Linked DNA regions of Stegostoma tigrinum. Each later gene encodes a partner of the first gene's protein in a complex. Links are inferred from orthologs where the notes say so. Each region holds a gene or a part of one and is shown on either strand. Other genes may lie near its edges.

The links. The genes of interacting proteins can lie anywhere in the genome.
Region 2: the proteins of prkaa2 (region 1) and 5'-AMP-activated protein kinase subunit gamma-1 are in contact, whole or in part, in a crystal structure (PDB 6B1U), measured with the Homo sapiens proteins. The link is inferred for Stegostoma tigrinum from reciprocal best matches to the Homo sapiens genes PRKAA2 and PRKAG1. Residues at the interface, in NP_006243.2 of Homo sapiens: Asp329, Asn330, Ile333, Met334, Ala337, Phe340, Tyr341, Leu342, His366, Pro367, Glu368, Arg369, Met370, Pro371, Pro372, Leu373, Ile374, Asn444, Val446, Thr447, Pro530, Arg531, Leu532, Gly533, Ser534, His535, Thr536, Met537, Asp538, Glu541; in NP_002724.1 of Homo sapiens: His36, Asp40, Leu41, Ile42, Pro43, Thr44, Ser45, Val50, Phe62, Leu64, Val65, Thr66, Gly68, Val69, Arg70, Trp75, Ser77, Lys78, Lys79, Gln80, Phe82, Pro158, Glu159, Ser160, Gly161, Asn162, Lys170, Arg171, Lys174, Phe175.

What each region holds. Positions count from the first base shown.
Region 1 is NC_081361.1:54,945,827-54,953,107, reverse strand, and holds the start of prkaa2 (5'-AMP-activated protein kinase catalytic subunit alpha-2), read right to left. Parts: upstream 3,103-7,281; 5' UTR 3,085-3,102; coding exon 2,991-3,084; intron 1,175-2,990; coding exon 1,033-1,174; intron 1-1,032. UniProt on the Homo sapiens protein: Catalytic subunit of AMP-activated protein kinase (AMPK), an energy sensor protein kinase that plays a key role in regulating cellular energy metabolism.
Region 2 is NC_081404.1:12,381,904-12,389,839, forward strand, and holds the start of 5'-AMP-activated protein kinase subunit gamma-1, read right to left. Parts: upstream 3,093-7,936; 5' UTR 2,928-3,092; coding exon 2,919-2,927; intron 1-2,918. UniProt on the Homo sapiens protein: AMP/ATP-binding subunit of AMP-activated protein kinase (AMPK), an energy sensor protein kinase that plays a key role in regulating cellular energy metabolism.

The sequences.
Region 1 (7,281 bases):
ATTTAATCTAAATGAGTAGGACCAGGAAGCATCACACATGAAAAAAGATTTTTGAGGTACACATCAAGTCAATAAAATTAGTTCAGGTTTAAAAAAAAAGAAAGCTCGTCTTCAGAATGTAAAAGTAGGTAGCATTATAATCATGTAAAAATTGGTCAAATTTCTTTGGAAATATCAGAATCTGTTTTGGCTACTCCATTTAAGAACATAATACCCTTGCAAAAATCCAGAAACAGTCCAGCAGCATTAACTGGGAGATAATGAATTTGAGTTACATTGAAAAACTGTAAATTTCTTGTATTTAGTGAGCATTAAAAGGTGACTGAAATTATGGTTATGAAAATAACTGACAGAGAGCAAATATACTTCTAAACGATTAATTCAGGAGACAGTAATATACTGGAAGCAGAATTTGCCAAATAAAACCAAATCCGAGAAAATGCCTGTTCAAACAAGGCATACCAAGACTGAACACACAGTGCAGAAGGCCTAATATGCAAAGCAATTATTGCAGTGTAAATAATTATTGCAGAAGGTTGAAGAGAACAGGAGAAAGATCTCAAGCCTCCTGTGCCATTCAATCAGATCCATTCATCCATGTGTATCCACATGCCCTTGATATATTTACTGAACAAAAATCTATCAAACTCGTCGAGACGATGTCAAATAATCTCAGCATCCAGTGACACTTGAAGGGCCCCACATTTGGTGAAAAAGTGTTTCCTGATTTCAATCTTAAGTTGCTTAATTCAAATTTTAAACTGCATTCCCTTGATCTACATTTTCCCACCAAAGGAAGTTGTAAATACTTCAACTGCATCACACTATATTTTTAACACCTTGAAATAAGCACCAAGTTTAAACAACCTGGAGTTGTATTTATGTACTTTGAATCCTGGTCAATTGGCATGATATTAACTAGTTCGCCAAGAATATGTTGCTACTGAAGTGTGGTACCTAGAAGTGAACAATATTCCAGATGGTATCTGAACTAATTTATTACCAACACATAACACAATTGATGTCACTCACAGTTTGATAATATGGGGATGACGGAAGAGTTTCAAGTTTTGAATTTCCCGCTTGATTTTTCCAACAACATCTAAATTGCGAATCTTCTGTCTGTTCAGGATTTTAACAGCAACTTTATGTCCTGTTAGCTGATGTTCTCCCACTGAAGAAGAAACAAAAATAAAATCAGCATTTAACTTCTGAAACACTCCATTGTATCGGAGGAAAGATGACTGACATAGTAAATGAACAGTAAAGTAACCCTTTTGAGATAGATGCAAAGGAACAAAATAAAGATATCTTTGAAGAAGGGTTGGCTCTGCATGGTCATGGTTTGCAGTACTTGATTCTGAATTTGTCAAATTTAAATGAGAATGGCTCCAGCGGCTGATCATAAACTTAACATAAATCAATTATTACACTAACACAGTAAATGATTCTGAAATTAACAGGTTACACATTTCGTCAATACCCTTAAAGGGATAGAACATAGAACATAACAGCACAGTACAGGCCCTTCGGCCCTCGATGTTGTGCTGACCTGTCATACCGATCTGAAGCCCATCTAACCTACACTATTCCATGTACATCCATAAGCTTATCCAGTGACGACTTAAATGTATCTAAAGTTGGCGAATCTACTACCGTTGCAGGCAAAGCGTTCCAATTCCCTTACTACTCTGAGTAAAGAAACTACCTCTGAAATCTGTCCTATATCTTTCACCCCTCAATTTAAAGCAATGCCCCCTCGTGCTCACCGTCACCATCCTAGGAAAAAGGCTCTCCCTATCCACCCTATCTAACCCTCTGATTATTTTATATGTTTCAATTAAGTCACCTCTCAACCTTCTTCTCTCTAATGAAAACAGCCTCAAGTCCCTCAGCCTGTCCTCGTAAAACCTTCCCTCCATACCAGGCAACATCCTAGTAAATCTCCTCTGCACCCTTTCCAAAGCTTCCACATCCTCCTTATAATGCGGTGACCAGAACTGTACGCAATACTCCAAGTGCGGCCGCACCAGAGTTTTGTACAGCTTCATCATAACCTCTTGGTTCCGGAACTCGATCCCTCTATTAATAAAAGCTAAAACACTGTATGCCTTCTTAACAGCCCTGTCAACCTGGGTGGCAACTTTCAAGGATCTGTGTACATGGACACCGAGACCTCTCTGCTCATCTACACTACTAAGAATTTTACCATTAGCCCAGTACTTTGCCTTCCGGTTACTCCTACCAAAGTGCATCACCTCACACTTGTCTGCATTAAACTCCATTTGTCACCTCTTATCATGCATACACTGAAGGAAGACAGAGGGGTGAGAAAAGGGGTGGGGTAGAAACAGGCAAGAGTGGAGCCAGGTACCAGGCAAGAGTAGCTATGAGTGCAGGACTGTTCACAAGGGCAAGCCTGGACTGGAGCCCCTAACTGACCACATTATGCTGCCGCCCGCAATCAGCGGAAAGTAGTGTCAGGTCCAGCTGGTGGGGAGGTGAGATTGGAGGGTAGAAACTTGAATCCAACAGACTCAGAGAAATAAAATGAATCACTGCCCGTCTTAGAAGCCATTCCAGAATCAACACAAACTAGTGTGAAAAACCATACCAAAATCAACATTCAGTTCAGAGGAAGAGTGACTGTCTCTAGGCCAAAGCTGATCAGAGAGAGGAAGATTGTGTCCGGGTCGACACTGACCATGAGCTGGAGCGGGAAATGGAGACAGTGTCCGGGCCAACACTGGTCCCGGGGGGATGCAGAAAGTGTCCAGGCCGACACTGACCGGGGGTGGGTGGGGGACATGGGGGAGGATGGATGGAGACAGTGTCCGGGCCGACACTGACGGGGGGTGAGGGGGGGGGGGGGGGCATGGGGAGCGGTGGTGGATGGAGATAGTGTCCAGGCTGACACTTGAATTTATTTATCATTAAGCGGGACCCATCTCAAACCGGAAGCATCTTAAATCTGGAAAGAAACACTTAACTCTTCACTTTGCCGAAGGTTCCAACCCCCAGAGTGTCGCCCAGGATGTAATGGCCGATCTTTACCCGACCATCGTGTTTCTGTTTCTCCGCCATCGCTGTCGGATTCCCTCTACCCAGCGTGCCCCACAGCCTAACGGCCAATGCGCATGCCAACTAGCGACTGTGATTATTTGGGGGTGAAGGGGCCGCTGCCGTCGCCATCTTTGAGGCGGTCAATGTCATCTCGACCCTCATGAGTGAGAGTACTTCTGCTCTTCCACAACGCTGCTCATTTTCCACCCCACCAGCATCTGTCTGCAAAGGACGATAAGCCTCCATTTCCGCCACCTCCAGTTGGATGTCACTACCAGATACATATTTACCTCAGTGATAATAGGAACTGTAGATGCATATTTACCTCTCTTTCTTTGTCAGCCTTTTTCAGGGACTGTACCCTGTAGGACACCCTGATCCACTCCTCCACCGTTCCCAACATCTCCCCACAGTCCAATGCACTTCACATCCAATTACAAAAGCTGCCCGTTTACTCCCTCACTGTCCAAAGCCACAGACACACCTTTCAGGTGAAGCAGTGATTTACTTGCACTTCATTCAATTCAATCTATTGCATTCACTGCTGTCAATGTGGTCTCCTCCACAATGTGGAGACAAAACACAAGCTGGTTGGCTGCTTTGAGGAACATCTACATTCTGTCCATAAAAATGACCCTTACTTTCAGTTATCTGCCACTTGAACACACCACCATGTTACCTAGCCAAATTACTGTCCCAAACCTGCTGTAGCACTCCAGCAAAGATCTGCTCAAGTTGGGAGCACAGCACCACATTTTCTGCTTGGGGACCCTGCAACCATCAGACTCAATATCAAGTTAACTAATATTAGGGCCTGAGCACCTTCTTCCACGTCCTTTACTCATCCTCACACCCCAGACCTTGTCACCCCAAGGGATGTTTTCAGTTCAGCAACCCATTTTCACCTACTTATGGTCCCCATTATCAGCTTTTCTCCTTCCTTGACATACTTTGTTTGTCGGATGGTCTTTCTCTCCATCTGGGCTCCCTCTCCATCAATTCTCTCCGTCCTTTACCCAACCCTCCCCCACCCCTTGTCTTTAGTAGAGATTCCACCTTTTCCAAGCTGCTACTAGTTCCAAAAAAGGGTCCGTTGACCTAAAATGTTGCCTCTGTTTTTTTCTCCACAGATGCTGCCGGATCTCCTGAGTTTCTCCGGTAATTTCAGTGTATGTATTTTTACCATTCCAGTTGTAGACGCTGCCTCACTGTCCTGGGTTATTGCTTAAGGTACCCACAATTCTCTCTCCTCTTGTATTTGACTGATATGGTCACCTTAAAAATGACACATGCCTGAAGTTAATGAAATTCTAAGATTGACAAGATCATATCATTTTGAAATTAGAAATGTGGAAAATAGGAAATAAGGAATAGTGACAGGACTTGAAATCAATAAAAGTTTGATTTGTTCGCGACTATTTGTCACAGTGGTTGGTTAGCTTGGATGGCTGGTTTGGGATGCCAACACATGGGTTCATTCCTGCCCTGGCTGAGGTTACTAAGAAGAATTCTTCTGCTCATTTTCTTTCCTTGATTGAGGTGTAGTGACCATCGGTTAAACCACCAGCAGTTGTCTCTCTCTAAAGGCTTACGGTGTGTTAGGTTTTATTGGTAGAGGGATTGAGTTCCAGAGCCATGATGTCTTGCTGCAACTGTACAAAATGCTAGTGCGGCCTCATTTGGAATATTGCATGCAGTTCTGGTCGCCCCATTACAGGAAGGATGTGGAAGCACTGGAAAAAGTGCAGAGGAGATTTACCAGGACGTTGCCTGGTCTGCAGCGCAGGCCCTATGAAGAAAGGCTGAGGGACTTGGATCTGTTCTCATTGGAGAGAAGGAGGCTAAGAGGGGATTTAATAGAGACATACAAGATGGTCAGAGGATTAGATAGCGTGGACAGTGAGAGTCTTTTTCTGAGGATGATGACTTCAGCTTGTTCAAGAGGGCACAGTTACAAATTGAGGGGTGATAGATTTCAGACAAATGTCAGAGGCAGATTCTTTACTCAGACAGTGTTAAGGGTGTGGAACACCCTGCCTGCCAATGTAGTTAACTCAGCCACATTAGGGGCATTTAAACAGTCCTTGGATAAGCATGTGGATGATGATGGGATAGTGTAGGGGGAGGGGCTTAAATTAGTTCACAGGTCGGCGCAACATCGAGGGCCGAAGGGCCTGTTCTGCGCTGTATTGTTCTATGTTCTATGTTCTAATGAGAGACTAGGCTTCTGGGATAATGGCGACTTTACCTTATTTGTCATGTTTTTGATTCAGAATTCACACATACCTTTTTAGCGCACTACTATTCTACATTCAACTAGATGACATGACTGTCATATTTCCTATTATTTACCAGCTCCATGGACCTGAGTCATACCTACACTGTGCTTGTATCACTAGAAGGCTTTTCATAAACACTAGTTCACCTACCTCAAATGTTCAGACAGAGCCCTTAAACTTGGCTGTGAGCAGAATTCCGGTCCTCATGACCCTTCAAGTTATCTTACTCATAATTAGATTTTAACTCTTCCTTACTCTTCTCAGAATTTACGTTAAAAGCTATCTTTCTATTTAGGATATTTCCAGACTATGCACCTAAGCTTCAACATTAACTTAGACCACCTCTCAATACTGATTTCACTTTTCTACTTGTCATATCTGCTCTCATTCTACTCATAACAGTACTTTTGCTCCAGAATGACTTCTACAATAGGTTTTTGCCAGAATGTTCCTCTGTTTAGGTGACTCTTTTAAAATGTAGATCTCCAAAGTTAACCTAGCCCCAGAGGCCTGACAAAAATAACTTGCATTTGAGGAGCAATATTAACATTAAAAGAAGTCCCAACATGCTTTTCAGGAGGAATGAGCCATATATGTGGATATTAGGACCAGCCTCCAAAAAATTGGTCATTAGGTAGGCTTTAAGGAGCATTGGAATGAATGAGGGAAGGTGGAGGCATTTACAGAGAGAGTTAAAGGGCTCAACTCCTGGCACCTGATGCCAAGCTTAGATCAATAAAATAATTGTGATGCACAAAAGGGCCAGAATTGTACCACTGTCAAAAGAACATCAACATCTCAAGGTTATCATGGAGAAGAAATTGATCAAAACTGTGACTACAAGAACAGGTCAGAGGCTAGGAATTCAGAGACTCTCTTAAAGCTTGCTCACCATCTACAAAGCATAATTCTGGTGTGTGATGGAATATTCTCCATTTAGGTGGATGAGTGCAATTTCAATATCAGTCAAAAAAATTAACACCACACAGGACAAGCAGTTCACTCGACCTGCATCCTATCCACAATTTTAAACATTCACTTTCCCCACCACCAAACCATAGTCGCAGCAGCGGCTACCATCTGCAAGATGCACTGCACAACTTCCCAAAACTCTGACCACTACTGCATAGGAGTAGGGCAACAGATGCATGCGAGTACCATCACCCGAAACGTTCTCTCTGTACCATATACCATCATAACTTGGAACCATATTGGCATTCCTTCACCATGGCTTGGTCAAATTATTGGAACTGCCTTCCTAACAGTATTGTATACCAATGTGTTATGGACTGTAGTAGTTCAAATGTATAATTAAATCAACACTATTTTGTTTTATTTTTCTTTTAGCAAAATCGACAGATATAATTTACGGGGACAGTTAGGTAGACATTCACTTCTCTGGGACCCAGTCCAAAGGTCTCATAGATTTAACTTCTGTTCCTTTCCATTCTCAACCTGGGAACTTTTACACTCAGAATTGTCTTTCACAGTGAGGTTTTTTTTCTCTGAGAGATCTTTCCTCTAGCACAAGCTAAGTAAATCTTCCAGCCTGATATTTTACTTCTTGTGAATTTAGTCTTTTCAGTCCATGTTCGAGTTCTACCCCCATTCCTGCATGACCAAATACAGCATTGTGCTAATCATAGCTGATCTTCCTGTTTTAAATCCTAACAGACTAACTTTATCTGTGAGTTTTCAGACATTTCTTAGATTCATCCTTTCTCAAGAATAATTTCTGATGGCAAGGTGAATTGTAAGTGCCTTTTATTCAAGTAGAAATACTGGTTAGCTATCCTTAAGAGCCTATTCTTTTCTCCTAGAAATAAACATTTAAAGTTCAGTTTAAAGCTCAACTATTGAGAACAGAATATTTCAGAGTTCGATTACTTCCATCTTATCCACTGTTAGCATATCTAGTGTCATTTCTAGTGTCAGGCTA
Region 2 (7,936 bases), on another chromosome or scaffold:
ATGCAGTCACATAATTCTTCCCATTTGCAACTAGATATTGGTTCATTTAGACACAATGCTTATTACAATAAATTCTATCCAAGCAAAGGCAATAAAGCAAGAGCAGAAGTAGGCCATTCAGTCCACTGAGTTCTATCAATGAGATCATGGTTGACTTGATAATACACAACTTGACTTTTCCTCATAACCCTCGATTTCCTTACTGATTAAAAATCTGTCCATCTCAGCCTTAAAATGTACTTGATGACCAAGCCTCAACAGCCCTCTATGACGAAGAATTCCACAGATTCACAACCCTCGGAAGAAATTCCTCCTCCTTCAGAAAACATTCTTCATTTTCTGAAGAAGGGTCAAGGCCCGAAACATCAGCTTTCCTGCTCAGCCTGCTGTGTTCATCCAGCTCCACACCTTGTTATCTTACAACTAATAAGCAGGCTCAGGTTGGAACTGGTACAACTTGTCAACCAAATAAATTTAAGGTGGCCAGAGTTTTGTGCTGTTGCTGCATTTGCAAGATTTAAAAAAAAATTGTCAGATAGATTAATTTTAATCAGGTGGTGCTTGAATTATTCAGAGCTACTCAATTTCATTGCAGCCAGTTTCATATGCTCGTGTGTCATGTGGAAGAGGTAAACTAATATCTTCATTGCTGTCAAACTTTCCAACCAGGAAATCTGTCCCATTTTATGGTTAAAAAAACAACTGCAAGTTAATGTTTACAATTCTGAGCTTTAATCTTTACACTCAATTTAACCTTTTCAATGACAGAGGATGTGCCATTTCTGTCATATCAGCACTAAATAAAATCCATAAATCTCTTCAGAATTATGGGTGGTAACAAATTCAAAACAGTGAACTAGGCACAAAATTCTTTGGGTAAAGTGTGGTTAATAAATGTAACTTGTCACCACAAGGGGTGTTTTTTTTTAAAGCAATAGCAGTGCTTGACTGCCACAGGGTGGAAAGGATTAGAATATTATGCTTATAGGTTCAGACAAAGTAAACTAGGAAGAGGCCATAAAATCCATCAATTAAGCAAGTGGGCCTCAGATCAGTTATATTTTCAATGCTTGAAGAAACTGAACAAACTGAAAAATATTTGGACAGTTTCAAGTATATCAGAAGCATGCAGGATTTCAAGACGATATTTCAGTAAAACATGTCTGGGGTGCAATATCTGCACACTCTGGATGTGTTAAGATCTTGTGGCACAGTGGCAGCATCCCTACCTCTAGGCCAGAAGATGAGTTCAAGTCCTAACTGCTCTGGAGGTGTGTCATAACACATCTGAGCAGGTTGATTGAAATAACTAAACTAAACGCACAAGATTGAGGCACACAGATACAGTACGACTGTACTGTATGACATTTCTGTTGCGATTTCCAACATGATACCTCAGGATTGTCTCAAATCTTATTTCAACAAGAAAACACAACAATGGCAGTTGCAAATTGGAATGATAACCCATTAATTTCAAAAGGACTTCTCATTACAAGAAAATGGAAGTCAGCAACTGCAATACAAGATAATTAAAGAAGGTTTGCAACAGTGAGGCACAAAAATGAAAGATTAAGAAACAACAGTGCGCATAAGAAATACTGAAGGCCTCTGCCAGCAGGTTGGATTTGAAGTTCATTCCTCCCACAGCCATCATCTTCTGTACAATACCATTACAACTCCCAAAGTTCAGCACTTGAAGAGGATGCACGTTGAACAAATCTCCCTGCCTGCAATGCTTCATGGGGCTGCTGGAAAGAGGCGCATGACCTGGACATTCACGGAGTATATTAATACTTTCTGTTTATATCCCAGGCCTCTGGTGGAAAGTTACTGAATTCAAGTCCCCAAGATTACCAACGACTTGCTTTTAGTAAAGAATAACTCATTCAGCATTTGGATGAAATGTTTTTTAAAGTTCCATATTCAAGACATTGGTCTCACAAGCTACATTGGGACAAAGGACAAGCTTTCGGAGCCTCAGTCCAAAGCCTGTATTTTCAAATAAACCTGTTGGACAATAATCTAATATTGTGCGATTTCTGACTTTGTCCACCCCAGCCTCTCCACACTGTGACAAAGGAAGCAGTGCACGATACCAAACTTTCAAGTAGACTCGATTTGTTAACTACGTTTGAATATTTTATACCAGATGCTTAGAATTTAGACAGAACGTGAAAACAACAATTGGTGATATACGTACACCAACAAATATTATACAATTCCAAAGGTGAGGAGAATAGTCATGCTCCAGGAACTAAGGGAAAAAAAAGTTCGATTCACTCTGTCGGAGGTCTTTCTCAAGTCTAAACGGGGGCTGTATGCCGTCCACTTTGTAACATTTACCCCGAACAAGCAGGAACTGGGAGGCTAATAGTTTTGCTGGGTGTGAGAAGCAAGCACTGAAAGGTTATCATATCAGATCCATCCCTTCGACAATTTCTTCTCTAGACTCAATCAGATACGTACAACATATATGGGAAATTTTGCGACACTTTCCTTTTATCCCTGTGCTCCCCACCCCACCAAAAACAACTAAATACATTGCCATATTCATCCTTCCTTTTTGGCATGACGTTTTTCAGTAGTTAGTCGATTTATGGCTCTCGACAGTAAATCTGGGCAGCCTCCCTTCTGACAAAAAGACACCCCCCTCTCCAATTCTTATTAAACCCAAAACACAATTAGTCCCAAAGAGTAGAGCTGCCACAGGAGAAATTAAATACCCATCATTATCAATGCTTTTAAAAACATTTTGGATGCAATTGGATCACAACACAATGAGGTGATTTAGATCAGACTCATCTGAGAAACTTGAGCTGTTTAATGCATTGATGCTGCGGAAGTAGGTGGCGCCCACCGGCCGGCTCTTCACCGGAGGTGGGAGAGGGAGGAGGAAGTTTAGCCGCTTTCTTACTTACCGAGTCCATTGCTCCACTGGTCGCTGTCTCAGCTTTCCTTCAGCCGCTTTCTTCCCCACGCCGGACTTTCACCTCCGCTCCCCCATCCACACAGCACCGCTTTCCGTTCCGCGCCTGCTCACCAAGTCAACGAACGCAAGATGGCCCGTTGTCGCAGCTGCGCCCACCAGCCCGCTGGCGCCGCCTGCAGGCTCCGACAGGCACGCCGAAGGAGACCTGGGAAGCAAACAGGCTGGAACTGGTTTGGTGCGGGGTGGGGAGGGGGGATGAGGGATGACGGGGAATGTGGGGAGGGGAGATGTTACGGATACTGCGATGGTGGTGGTGGCGAAGTGGACGACGTGACATCCTCTATATCGGTGAGACTAAGCGGAGACCGTTTTGTCGAACATCTGCGCTCTGTACACGACAAACACCACCTTCCGGTCACCAAGCATTTTACTCCCACCCCCGCAACTCCTCGGGTGACATGTCCATCCTGGGCTTCCTCCGGTGTCACAAAGACACCACCCTCAAACTGGAGGAGCAACACGTATTCTCACCGAAAGAACAGTGGATGCTGTAAATAAGGAACAAAAACAGAAGTTGCTGGAAAAGTTCAACGGGCCTGGTAGCATCTGTGAAGGAAAAAAATCAGAGTTAACGTTTCGGATTCGGTGACCCTTCTCAGAACAAGAGGAGAGCTCTGAGGAAGTGTCCCCGAATCCGAAACGTTAACTCTGATTTTTTTCCTTCACAGATGCTGCCAGGCCCGTTGAGCTTTTCCAGCAACTTCTGTTTTTAACACCTCATATTTCGCCTTCGGTTCCTACAGCCCAATGGCCTGAACATAGAAATCACCAGTTTCAAAATCTCCCCACATCCAACCCTCCCTCTCAACCCCGCCTCCTTGACCTGACACAACCTGTCCATCTCCTTCCCACTGAGCAATCCCCATCACCCCCTACGTCTATCTATTACCATCCCATCTCCTCCCCCCAGCCCCACCTATTCTCCCTCTCTCCTCCTTGACCTGACACAACCTGTCCATCTCCTTCCCACTGAGCAATCCCCATCACCCCCTACGTCTATCTATTACCATCCCATCTCCTCCCCCCAGCCCCACCTATTCTCCCTCTCTCCTCCTTGACCTGACACAACCTGCCCATCTTCTCTCCCACCTATACATCACACCCATCTCATTGCCCAATCCCCACTATCCCTTACCTGCATCTACCTAACACCACCCCACCGGCCTTCCCCAGCCTCACCCCTCTTCCCCCCATTTATTTCCCAGCTCCCTTCCCCCTCCCCAGTCCTGGCCTGAAATGTTGATTCTCCTGCTTCTCTGATGCTGCGTAACCTGCTGTGCTCCAGCTCTGCTCTGTATCAACTCTGACTTCAGCATCTGCAGTTCTTGCTTTCTCCCAGGAGGTGATGTGATCGCATGGTGATATGATCATTGTTGGGGGGAGAGAGAATGTGATGGAGGTGTGGGGATGTCAACTTGAAGGGATGTGATCTAAGGACAGTGTGATGGGGAGTGGGAGGGAGGCTGGGTGGTGGAAAGAACAAGGAACATATACTCCCAAAGTTCCAGGCAATTCAAAAAGACTCAAGGCTTGAACATCTTGTTGTTTGCAAACAAATGAATGATTTCTTGTTTGTTGCACTGGCTGTTGAGAACTCTGCTGGGAGTAGGCTGCAGGTTTGAGTTTAGAAGGATGAGAGGGGATCTGATTGAGGCGTATAAGATTATTAAGGGATTGGACATTCTGGAGGCAGGAAGCATGTTTCCGCTGATGGCTGAATCCAGAACCAGAGGACACAGTTTAAAAATAAGGGGTAGGCCATTTAGAACAGAGTTGAGGAAAAACTTCTTCACCCAGAGAGTGGTGGATATATGGAATGCTCTGCCTCAGAAGGCAGTGGAGGCCAACTCTCTGGATACTTTCAAGAAAGAGATAGATAGAGTTCTTAAAGATAGTGGAATCAAGGGTTATGGGGATAAGGCAGGAATAAGATACTGATTGTTTGATGATCAGCCATGATCATAATGAATGGTGGTGCTGGCTCGAAGGGCCAAATAGCCTACTCCAGCACCTATTGTCTATTGTTGTAGAGGGTTCCTTAAATCTGAAGATTAGAGCTGCATTTAGATTAGATTAGATTCCCTACAGTGTTGAAACAGGCCCTTCGGCTCAACAAGTCCACACCGCCCCTTGAAGCATCCCACCCAGACCCAGTCCCCTATAACCCACACACCCCTGAACACTGTGGGAAATTTAGCATGGCCAATCCACCTAGCCTGCACATCTTTGGACTGTGGGAGGAAGATAAAGCAAAATGTTTAGAATGGGTGATTTTCATTTTCATAAATTTGGAGAATAGCTGGAGTCATAAACAGCATTTTCCAGTATATTCAGAACAGTTTTCTGGAACCAAATGTTGTAGAAGAACAAAAGAGGCCATTTTAGATGTAATGTTAATATGCCAAAAGTAGTTAATAATCTGACAGGAAATGAACATCTTGCAAATATTAAACATGGTATGATCGAATTTGATACTAAAGTTGAGTGGAAGAAGAGAGAATCTCAAGCCAGGTTTTAAACTTCGGTAAATTTACTGCTAAAAATTGAACATAAACTGACACAATAAATCATGCTCAGTTGTTAACAAATGTATTTATAAACATGAAAGGTATTTAAAGTAGCAGTGCAATACAAGACAATACTTATCTCTAAAAAAAAGCCAAAGCTCCACTCTGTAGGATTAAGTAATGAGTTCACAAATCAGGCAGGATGCAGTCAGAACTTGAAGTGCCTTCTACAAATGAAATGTAGAAAGCTGGCAGAGTGGGAAAACAATAAAAAAATTTAAAGTGTTAATTGTAAAACAAAACACTAGCTAAACAAAATATTGCAGAATATTTTTGTATTGCTGAAAAAAACATTTTGTCAAAGCCATCACCTTGCACTCATCAAGACAAGTTACCAAAAAAAACCCTAAGTAAAACAGAGTTTATATTAAATGAGAAGAGTGTTCATTGATTGGTAGAGATGATGCCAATAAGAATACATATTACTGATGACTGACCGTTAAATGCCAAGTTTTGTTTATGTTTTAAACCAGGCAGTTTGACCTTGATTAGTTGAGGTTCTGCCTTTAGGAACAATCCAGGGAATGACCTGCCATCTAGTTTCTTGAGTTGAAATGCCTCTACTGATCAGAGGCCACGCCAATAAATCAGCACTCTCCTCTCATACAAGATACGTTATTTTCCCCTTACTTAGGTATTTTTTGTGAATTCTCCTACGGATACAATCAAAAAGCTTCAACAAAGTTCTATACCAATAAATGACTATAGAATATTTCATGGACAAAACATTTAGAACATTCAAGAGAGACTGAAAAGCAACAATCTAACCTAAAGATTGAAATGAATTCAATACTTAGATGCTTCACTAGTTTGTAACAGATCTATAAATGTCAGGATGTAACTACTGCCTTTACATCACTTCAACAAAGTTTTTGTCGATTAACAGCTCTGTGCGGCCAACTGCACATGAGGATATATGCTTAATATAATTCTCACCATTAAAGATGCAATGCATCATAAATATAGTTAATCTCAAGGCATTAACCACACATAAAAATGTATAAGTTCTGATGTAAGGTGTGTGATATGGATTTTGAACTAGTGGTATGTGGGTTTGATCTGTATGTATGGGGGAGGGGTTGTTGTTTAATGATTAACTTGTCAGTATCACTGGAGACATAGTTTTTGTTTTTAAAAAAACTGTGTGCATGTTCCTGGAGGAATAGTAGAAATTTGTTTGCATTAGGAGAGTTGAATAAGCAGCGAGAACACTGAAAAGCATTAATAACAAAAATTACTGTTAAAACTCAACAGGTCTGGCAGCATCTATGAAGAGAAGACACAGTTAACATTTTGGGACCAGTGACACTTCTTCAGAACTCCAGATGCTGCCAGATCTACTGAACTGGGGAGGCAATGGCTTCGTGGTATTATCACTGCACTGCTAATCCAAAGACCTAGATAATGTTCTGGGGACCTTGGTTCAAATCCCGTCAAGGCAGATGGTGGAATTTGAATTCAACAAAATATCTGGAATTAAGAATCTAATAATGACCATGAATCCATTGCCAATTGTTGGGAAAAACCTATCTGGATCACTAATGCCCTTTAGGGAAGGAAACTGCCACCCTTACCTGGCTTGGCCTACATGTGACTCCAGACCCACAGCAATGTGGTTGACTCTTAGCTGTCCTCTGAGCAATTAGGGATGGACAATAAATGCTGCCTAGCCAGAGCTGCCCTCATTCCCATTCATGAATAAAGGAACTGTTCCAGCAATTTCTGATTTCCAGCACCCACAGTTCTAAGGTTTTATAGATAGCATTAGGCTGCTTTTAGTTAGAAGGATCAGAGATTTTGTTTTTTATCTCCAAAATTTAGAATTCTTTTGTTTTCAGTCCACAGAAGTCCAGGTCGAAGGAAAGCAGAGAAAACAAATTCCCCTCGAAGAAAGTAAATAATTCAGGATAGTTAGGAAATAAACAACCTGTGTGTAAGGGGTCTAGTTTGAAAGTTTCAGACCAGAAGTGTTTGGGTAGAAAGGTTATTTGAAGCTGAGAAAATCTAAGCTCAATTGTGTGAATAACTGAGGAGGCTCCATCAGACTTTCGAGACCAGGAATTTAAAGCACCGGTTATATCAGATCTATAGATGTGATAATGAAGGGAGTTCTCTCTGATGGGGGTACTGTAAAGGGGTGTTGTTGGGAGAGATGAAATACTGTATTTCGGTTATTTTCAAATTGCTTCATATATAAATAGCCTAGTTTATTCCATTTTATCTTATTTCCTTATGCATAGTAAACTTGGTTGACTGACAAAACCAGATTTGCAGTAATACATGCTTGTTTCAGTGAAAGACCACTTCGTAGAATGAATCAAAATATGATCTGTCAAGCCAGATTTGAGTCTGGTATTTGACTTGCTCAGCTTGGATCGTA